Regions from separate parts of the Mus musculus genome. Here region 2 is reported to be linked to region 1. The links are microRNA targets in miRTarBase. Many come from high-throughput screens and were not tested one by one. Region 1 holds a microRNA gene; the other region holds the end of a gene's coding sequence.

What was found. Region 1 holds the annotated microRNA mmu-miR-3103-3p (UAACCUCUGAUCCUUCCCACAG, at 2,949-2,970, opposite strand). A microRNA usually pairs through its seed, bases 2 to 8, with sites in the 3' UTR of a target mRNA and lowers its output. Matches are read on the target gene's strand: a 7mer-m8 pairs with bases 2 to 8, a 7mer-A1 pairs with bases 2 to 7 and ends in A, and an 8mer does both.
Region 2: the mRNA of Pm20d2 is a reported target of mmu-miR-3103-3p. Seed matches in the 3' UTR shown: 8mer at 2,450-2,457.

Annotation. Positions count from the first base shown.
Region 1 is chr7:128,285,422-128,289,806 of GRCm38, forward strand. Mir3103 (microRNA 3103) reads right to left here and starts at 3,014; the gene lies at 2,948-3,014. It overlaps Rusf1 (RUS family member 1), which reads right to left. Exons shown (of 13, transcript NM_145590.2): 4 at 3,038-3,070; 5 at 2,843-2,948.
Region 2 is chr4:33,170,831-33,175,215 of GRCm38, reverse strand. It overlaps Pm20d2 (peptidase M20 domain containing 2), which reads left to right. Exons shown (of 7, transcript NM_001034867.2): 6 at 365-472; 7 at 736-4,385. The coding sequence ends at 890. Among named protein-coding and RNA genes, the nearest start is that of Pm20d2, 17 kb to the left of the region's middle.

The DNA of each region.
Region 1 (4,385 bases):
TCTCGCCAGCCATTATTACCCTGTGACCCTGACTGTAGGAAATTCCAACTTCCTTTCCCCAAGGGTCTTTTTGCCCTCTTTCAATCAGGGTCTTGCCATGTAACCTAGGCTGCCCTAGAACTTGTAATAGTCCTAACTCAGACCCCATGATACTAGAATCACAGGGCTGTGCCCTGCTGGGGTCGTTTTAAAGCCACATCTCTCATCTCCTTGGCTTGCTTTGGCTCTCTCTCTCTGACTGATCGATAAGGTCCAGTCTGGTCTTTGACTTCACGCTTACAGTCTGCCTCCTTATAAGTCCTTTCTTCTTCCTGTCCCAGCCTAGCTCCACTGAGCGCTCCAGGCAGATCTACACTTACTCCAGTGGCCCTGGATTAACGAACTTACATCTCTCCTGAGATCTCTAGAAAGCAACTAGAGCCACTGATAACTTTGACCATCGAGTCTCTTGTAGATGACAGACACAGAATGATGACAGACGGGTTTTTGATGAAGCTTAAGTATAGCTATAAAGGTGGAGGAACTAATTTATTCAAAATCAAGAGAAAAGTGGTGTAAGATGAGGCTCAAGTGACTGGCAGGGAACAGTCTGGTTCCAAATAGAAAACTGGAAGCCTTTAAGGTTTCCAGAGAGCAGTGGCTCAGGCAAGTAACCTAATTTGATTCCTACGTTTACTATTGTGTGTGTGCGCACATGTACACACGTGCTGACGCATGCATGGATGTCAGAGGAGAATCTGCAGGAGCCCCTGCTCTCCTGCCACGTTGAGCCCAGAAACTGAACTCAGGTTGGCAGGTTTGGCTACTGCACCTTGCTGGCCCACTGACCCTAGAGAAATTTTAATTCAGAACAAGGTTGCTCTGGCCAGAGATCACATCCAAAGATGTTCTAGGTCTGTGTGATCCAGATGGAATACAGATACGCCTTTAATCCCAAGGTACAGAGGTAAGCACATTTCTGAGTTCAAGGCCAGCCTGCTATAGAGCACATACATATGTATCAGGCAAAGAAAAGCTTAGGTACAGGTGTGGTGGTGCACGCCTTCAATCCCAGACAATGAAGATAGAGTTAGCTTGTAGAAGGAAGCAGCCATGTTTGAAAGTGATGTCTAATTGAGTGGCAGACAAAGTGACAGATCAAGGAAAGATATGACAGAATGGGACCTGCCCAACTCTCCTGAGAAGAGAGAGGAGAGGGAAGCTGCTCACGGGAGCACTGCAGACAGAGGATGCAGTCTGACCTGGGCAGCTCTGCAGTCACGGGTTAAAAGAAGGAGCCAGAAGAATAGAAAAGATTGCTAGAGTTACTTTGAGGCCAAGCAGAGCAAGCCAGAGGCTAAGAGAACAGCCAGACTGAATCAGTGAGCTTGGAGAGGAGTTTGAGCCAGAACAGCTGAGTTGAACCAGCCGGTCAGAGCTCAGAAAGAACAAGAAAAGGTGAGCATTTTTAGCAGCAAGTCTCAGAGGCTGAACACCTAGGCCTAGACAAGACTGTATGGAAGCTGGGAGCTTTCAGGACTAGGTCTAGGTTGGAAGACAGACGCCGTGAGCCTGGGACATGACAGTTACTACAGGAGAATCAAAGTTCCCTTTACAACTGACTTTCAAGAGAGCGTTGGGCTGTGAAAAGGGCTACAGACTCCCTGGGAAGGAACTTGTCCAGCAGAGGGGCTGCCAGTGAGAGAGGGGGATGAACGGTGGGAAGCTGGAGGAAAACTGGAAGATCTGAGCAGAAAGCGACAACTGAGGTGAGGAGGTAAGGGTGACAGCCAGCTTCTGGCTGCTGTAGCTGTGGAGGGAGTGCTGGTCACAGACTGAAACTCTGCCAAGCCGGATCTTAAGGGGAAAGACAGAACCTTGCTCTGGGACAGTATTTGACAGACACGGGTCTCAGAAGCAGAGCTTGCTGCCGAGTCTGAAAGATATGCCAGAAGTCACAATCCCCAGCTGGTCCCCAGCTCCAGCAGTATCTTCTCTGGGGTTTCCTAACTTGATGATAAAATCAGGGGCAGAAGTTAAGGTGTGTGCAGCATTTACTGCCTGTCCTAAACAAAAAGACTGCTTTACCCCAAATACCAAAAGTGCCTGTGGCTTGGCGGCTTGGCTGCAGTGTAATGCGTCCGGTACTGAGTCTTAGGGCTTTACAGCTCTACATACCTGACTGTAGTGATGGGTTTTCTGACCCTGCTGGGCCTGTTTCCTCATCTGAAGGTGCTGTGAGGGCAAGTGAACCCCACCAGCTTCAGTGGCGATTTGTGCCATTGCTCGCTTGCTCTCTCTCTCTCTCTCATGTGTGTGCGTACGTGTGTGTGTGTGTGTGTGTGTGTGTGTGTGTGTGTGTGTGTGTGTGTGATTTCTTGGTCCTGGAATCATACATAAACTCCTCTTCTTCAGGACTCAGCCTCATGTAGGGCCTTTCTACATCCCAAGACCATTCCTCACCTGGTATGCTCAGAACTGTAACCCCATAGATATCTGTGTAATTATGTGCCATTTCCGTTAAACATGGGAGAGTCTGTGGCCTGGGTCATCCATGCAGTAGGCACTATACAGATGCTTTACTGAAGAATGACAAGCCCCTAGATTCTGGTGTTGGACCACCCTTCACTCTCAGCTCAGAGCACCCTCACCAGCATGTGCTCCAACATGGCCCTGCACAGGCTGGCTGAGGTACAAGGGCTGTCTGGTCAGAGGATCAGAAAACTTGTCTGTGTCTCAGTAGAAACATATGAACTTTGTCCTTTTCGAACTTCCTTCAGTACAGGGACCGGGTAAGCCACACACAGCGTCGGTAAGGATGGTATTGGTATCTCAGGTACAGAAGTGTCCCAGAGGTGGCTACCTTGGCTAGGTTGCTGGTACTGACAGTCATGGTGAAAAAGATTGGGTACATGGGAGCCATAATCTCTAGGAACATGGCTACATCGTTGAGGATGTCGGCAAAGAGCCTGTGGGAAGGATCAGAGGTTAGAGGTCACAAACCAGAGACTTTCTAACAGCAGATCCTCCCTCCTCCCCATACCTCCTCTCTTCTCACCTCCACTGCTTGGCATTGCAGTCCAGTTTGCTCCTGTTGGGATAAGAGGTTGTTGCAATTTAGAACACAGGAAAACTGCTGTGGGCTGTAAGGAGTTGTCAGGTCACGGTCAGGTCTACAGGATTCAGGGTGGAAATATACTGAAGGGGCTCTGGGCAGCTCCAGCGTGCCCACACAGCTCTGGCAGGCCGTACTCCCTCTGCCTTGCTAAAAATTGTTAGGTTACATTCCTAAAGGTAGCTACCAGGGTCTATTCCCTTATTTGGGCACCTCCTCCTCCTGAGGCTGACTACCAAGAACCAGCTAGACAGTATTGAAGTCCAGCAATCAAAAACCCCCTTTGTCCCCTAGTTAAGATGCCCAGTGAAGATTAAACCCCTCATCCTGACACGGGGTTCCCTTTGTACCTTTATAAGCTGCTGTTTTCCCATGGGCCACATCTGTCTCCTCTGTCCAGAGGCAGTCCTTTGTACTCACTCCGGGACAGATGCCCTTTCTCCCTAGTCCTCTCCCTCCTGTCTTTGTCTCTCACTCCCTGCCCTTTGTCCCTCTGGGACGAATCAATCTTCTTTGTGCTTTGGTCTTGGAGGTCCAGGAGAAACGGCTCCTTACTATCACTTTCCTGTCACTGTGAGATCAGGAATTCTTTAGCTGCTTTTCCCCTCCCCAGAAACTGGGCGACACCCTCCTGCAGCTCTCTGATAACAGCAGGGAAGAAAGGCCTTGTAGCCCTTCTCAACTCAGCTGCAAGATAAGTTCACAGTCCGATCTAGTGCTAGCTCCATTTCCCTTAGCAAAAGACTGGGCCAAACTAAGTCACATGGTGTAGATCTTCTACCACGCCTCTGAAAAATCAATGAAGGTCAGATTGCTGCTTGGCAGACTTGAGGCTTTCCCCTTTGGCGCCCCCTGCCCCCCGCACCCCTTTATTACACTGCACATGGCTGCCACCTCTCCTCACCTCACTCCTCTCTGGGTTTTGAAGGGAAGGCCTGCTCCCTTCAGTTGGAGCCCCACCATGCTGTCCTTGGCAGGATGTTATATGTTTCCTAAGTGGTCTCCTACTGCAAGGTGGGAAGCGCTCTCATGATGAAGCTCTCCTGAAAGGTGATTTTCTATCTGCCTCTCTGACCAGTGTTTTGTTCCAATATTCCCAGTCCCCTGAAATATGATCCTTAGCTGGGAAGGTCTTCAGTGAGTGCTGGGTATCTCGCCCGTACTGGCTCTGAGGAAAAATTCTGTTTATTGACAGTTCTCCCACTCTCTGGGCAACCTTTGAAGAGGCTATTCGTGGACCATTCTCCTTTTTGCTTTGCTTCTTTCAAAGGTAACTAAGTCAAAGTCCATA
Region 2 (4,385 bases), not on the chromosome of region 1:
AAGAATGCACTTTGAGTTGCTAATTTGAAACAATAAATAGAGAAACATCTGAGAATATGGCATGAAAAGAGGAAAGGACTGGCATCAAGTCTCAAGGAACCAGTCGGGAGAGGGGGTCTGTAGCCCTGGGTCAGAGGAGGAGCCATCAGGGTTCCCAGTGGGGTGCTAGAGGGGCTGGCTTTAGGGCTGGGCAGGGACAGGTCTGGAGATCCCTGTTAGAGCAGCTCAGCCAATGCAGAGGTGGGAGTAAGTGTCTCTCCTGGAAGCTTGCTCAGGAACCATGACTGAGCACAGGATCCTAGTTACAACTTCACCAGTCAGGGTACTTAACCAAGCACCCCTTTCTTCCCTTTTGTGTTTCAAGGCTCTACTGATTTTGGAAATGTCAGTTTCGTGGTTCCTGGGATTCACCCGTATTTTTACATTGGGACTGATGCCTTGAATCACACGGAGCAGTACACAGAAGCTGCAGGTGAGCGCCAGCTGTGAGTACCCGGGGTTCTCTGCCAGCTGTGAGTACCCGGAATTCTCTGCCAGCTGTGAGTACCCGGGTTCGCCTCCTCTTCCTGCTCAGTGCTGCTCTTTAGCCTGTTCTCCCATATAATCACTTCAGAAAACACGGTGTTGTGCTCAGAGGGTGGAGAGGCAGTTTAGATACTGAGAGGTAACCAGAGGAACTAATAAATGTACTGTGATCTAGAGAGAGGTTTTCAATGTGTTTTCTTCACCTCCCAGGATCACAAGCGGCTCAGCTGTACACGCTGCGTACAGCCAAGGCTCTGGCAATGACCGCACTGGACGTCATCTTTAAGCCTGCATTGCTCGAAGGAGTCAGGAAGGAGTTTAAATGTAAACTTCAAGAAGAGCAGCTTTTAAATACAGCAGCATAGAAGGAAACCCTAGGGACTGGTCAGGAAATGTTACGTTTTGTTTGTTTTTTACCTCTCATGTTTTTCAGTGAAAGAGAGCATGCTTGTTTTTCAGTCCTGGTAAGTGAGGACAGATATAGGGAAGAAGACACGAATGCACGTCTAGATTTAGTGGAGTTTGTGATACTGCAGGCGTTGGTGCGTAACGCCATCTATTACGCCAGATGATACCTGATCCTGTAACATTCGGTAATGTTTTGTAAGTGTATCTGCTGTATGGTGTTACAAGTCCCACGGGTTTCAGAAGGTGACACTCATGAACTCTGTGGTTCAGAGTAGGGAATGTCTTCTCGGCAGTTTAAATCGAGGGGGAGACTTGTTTTAAGTCTAACTGTATCTGTTTGGGTCTAAAGAAAAACTTGAAATAAACATATGCTTGTGGGACACTCCTAGAATCCCCAGTACAAAGAATTAGCTCTACTTTTAACACTTAGAGAAGGGGCGAGGAGGAGTGGAGGGAATGGTGGAAGAGGGAGAGGGAGAGAGAGAGAGAGAGAGAGAGAGATCTTTACTTACATGTAATTACTCCAAGAAGTGGCATAGGAACAGTGGGTAGTAACAGGAAAAATGGCAGAAAGGCACAGTTGAGCCTTTCTAGCAGGGTAGGGTGTTGTGTGTTGTGTTACAGGAGTTGGCCGGAGTACAGACTAGGTGTGCTCTGTTCTCCAGTGTCCCACACGGTCCCCAGTCCCTAGCAGCCTCAGAAGAGCCCCAAAGCCCTGTGCTGGCCCAGTAGTAATGTGAACCCATGGCCTTGGAAAGGAGGCTCCGTAGCTCCTAATGAGACTTAGTTAAGCTTCCTGCAGTTTCTCTGGACTTTCTTTTGTGCCTTGTCTGCTCGCTCCCTGGTTTGTGTCACCACAGCATTTGTAGAGCCACAGGAGGGAGTTGTTTTTACAAGGAAGCCAGGATTCGAGCTGGAAATCTGAAACATTTCAGTGGTTGTCAGTAAAATCACTGTCAGTAATGCCCTGGAAAGGAGCGAGTCACATAAAATCAGCAGTTCTTCATGGTCCTCACTGTAGCACAAGTTTCTTTGGTTTTGGTGGGGCTGAGTTTGAGACAGGTTTTCCCTTCTGCCCGCCTCCTCCCCACTCTCTTCCCTCTGCTGCTGCCTCTCAGATGCTGTGATTATAGGCTCGAGCACAGCACACCTGCCATCTAGTGTGAACTTGCACATGATTAAAGTGTGAAGAAGCCGGTAAAACCAACTCGTGGGCATTTGAGGAGGCGGTTCAGAGTCAGAAGTGGAAGGGCACAGGGAAGTGCATTTGCTTCTGTGGTGGAAGCAAGTCACTTTCCCTCAGTGACACCAGCTGCCACTTAGAAGGTTAGCCATCTTTGACCCTTCTAGCCTCTGATTTCCTGTTTGATGTGTACTTTAGAACAGGGAGCGGGGTTGTATTGGAGGGCTAACATCTGAGAACTGCTCTCTGCTGTTCTCTGGCTTGACATAGGCTGGTGTTTGCTTGATTACTTGCCTTTGTGCAGCTAGTATACTAAGAATTGTTTTGCATTTTAGAGGTTAAAAAAAAAACCCCAAAAACAAAAAACCACCATTACCACAAAGCATAAAGTATTTACTGTCTGACCTGTCAGGAAAAAGAAACCTCTCAGAGCCAGTCAATCGGGCAGTTTCTGATTTCTGTTCTCTTGAATTTTCTGGGGAAAGCTTCAAGTCCTGCATTGGAAGCACTTTAGTGTAGATAGGGGCTGCCTGACAGAGTGATCAGGACTGTTCCACCCTCTACTTTGTCCTTCTAGACAGAAGCCTGTTTCAGCTCCCCTCACCCTGCCCCACAAGTCCTCAGCCTTGCCTCTGCACACCACCCGTTCTGTCTTTGCGTAACATTGAGAACTCAGTCCTCCATGACACCTTGTGTCTGGATACTCACACCCGAGTTTATCATATTAAATACAAATTTTGTATAAAGAGGGAGTATCAATGAAAACTTGAATCAAAAAATAAGACATGCCAGAGATGTGGTTTTTTTTTATTGATGGACTTGGTCTCCTAAAAGGCTGTTTTATTAGTTCCTCACATCTTGAGGGATAGGTTTTTTTGTTGATTGATTTAGTTTTGGTTTTTGCAGGGCTTGATATTGAGACCAGGGCTCTAGCACAGAGCTGCATCCCCAGCTCCAGGGCAGGGCATTGGTTGCATTTGCTATAATCTTGACACCATCCTAGAACAGCTGTTGTTATTTATGCAGCCCAACCTCTGAGAATCATGTGTATTCCGTGTCTGGTTTCCTTTTCCTTTTTTTTTTTTTAAGTAAAATTAAATTTGACTGATGTATAAACAATGTCGGGTTTAGGTAGGTAAGGAAGGGTGTGTTTCTTGTTGGAGGTTGCTGCTGTGATTTTACAATTTGCTGTCTTATTGTCCAATGGTTTACCATTTTGAACCACTTACACCATGTCCTTACAAATGCCTTTTCCTGTCACCTGGGAGAGGTGTTACGTCAATGCATTCTAGAATGAGTAAGCTACACTTAGCAGCTTAAATGTAATTACAATCTGAAATTTATTTTCCTTTACCAGCTTAATTCTAAGGAAGCTTGAATATGGGACCTGTGCAGTACAGGTGTTAAAGTTATGTTTCCTTTTTCCTAAATGCCTGAGACCAGCGGTGTTTCAGATTTTAGATTAAAAAAATGTTTTGAAATATTTGCATATATATTATGTAATCTATATTTTATACATATATATGTATATACAAACAGGGAGGGGGAAGATAGAGATGGAACCCAGCTAGAGCTATAAAAATCCCTTTGTGTATCACATGGGCCTGCCCTATGCACACAGCTTGAAGGACGGTGTGCTCAGTGTTTTAGTGTGTCTGAGAGTTAACTGACCTGTGTGCACAGGAGGCCAGTTGTGCAGTTCTCACCTAGGTCGTGCCACTCACAGTTGGATTTCTGGAGCATTTTGGTCAGTCAACCTGGACTGCGAACTAGTAAGTTGCTGTGTATTCTGTGACTGTAGCTAATATTTAGCTTGCCTCAAATTTTTTGAGCTGATATTTAGTCTTAACAAATTCTCCTTATTGGATGAACTGCACAGGAAGTTTTTCTTTTCAACCACGTCTCTCTATGACATAAACGTTGGGGTACTTAGGGTAAAGTAGACACTGCATGTGTTTATGAAGGTGCAAACAGAAAGAAGGGTGTCAAGTGCTACAGTTGCATTGCTGTTGCTGTTTGTAAACTGTGCCGTCTCAGCGTTTGGGTGAGTAAATGTTTGCAACCACTGGAGAAGAGTAAAGGCCCTGTGTGTGGTGCTACATCCTCCTAGGATTTAGTTCACACAGACTATGCCAGGATGGAGGGGCACCTGAAAACTGCCCTGGGAGTTTTGGAGGAAGGGCTTCTAAAATACTTAAAAATACGTGAATCACTTCAGTCTGTTTAAACGGAAAAAAATATTTGATACCAGGTCTTTATATATATATAT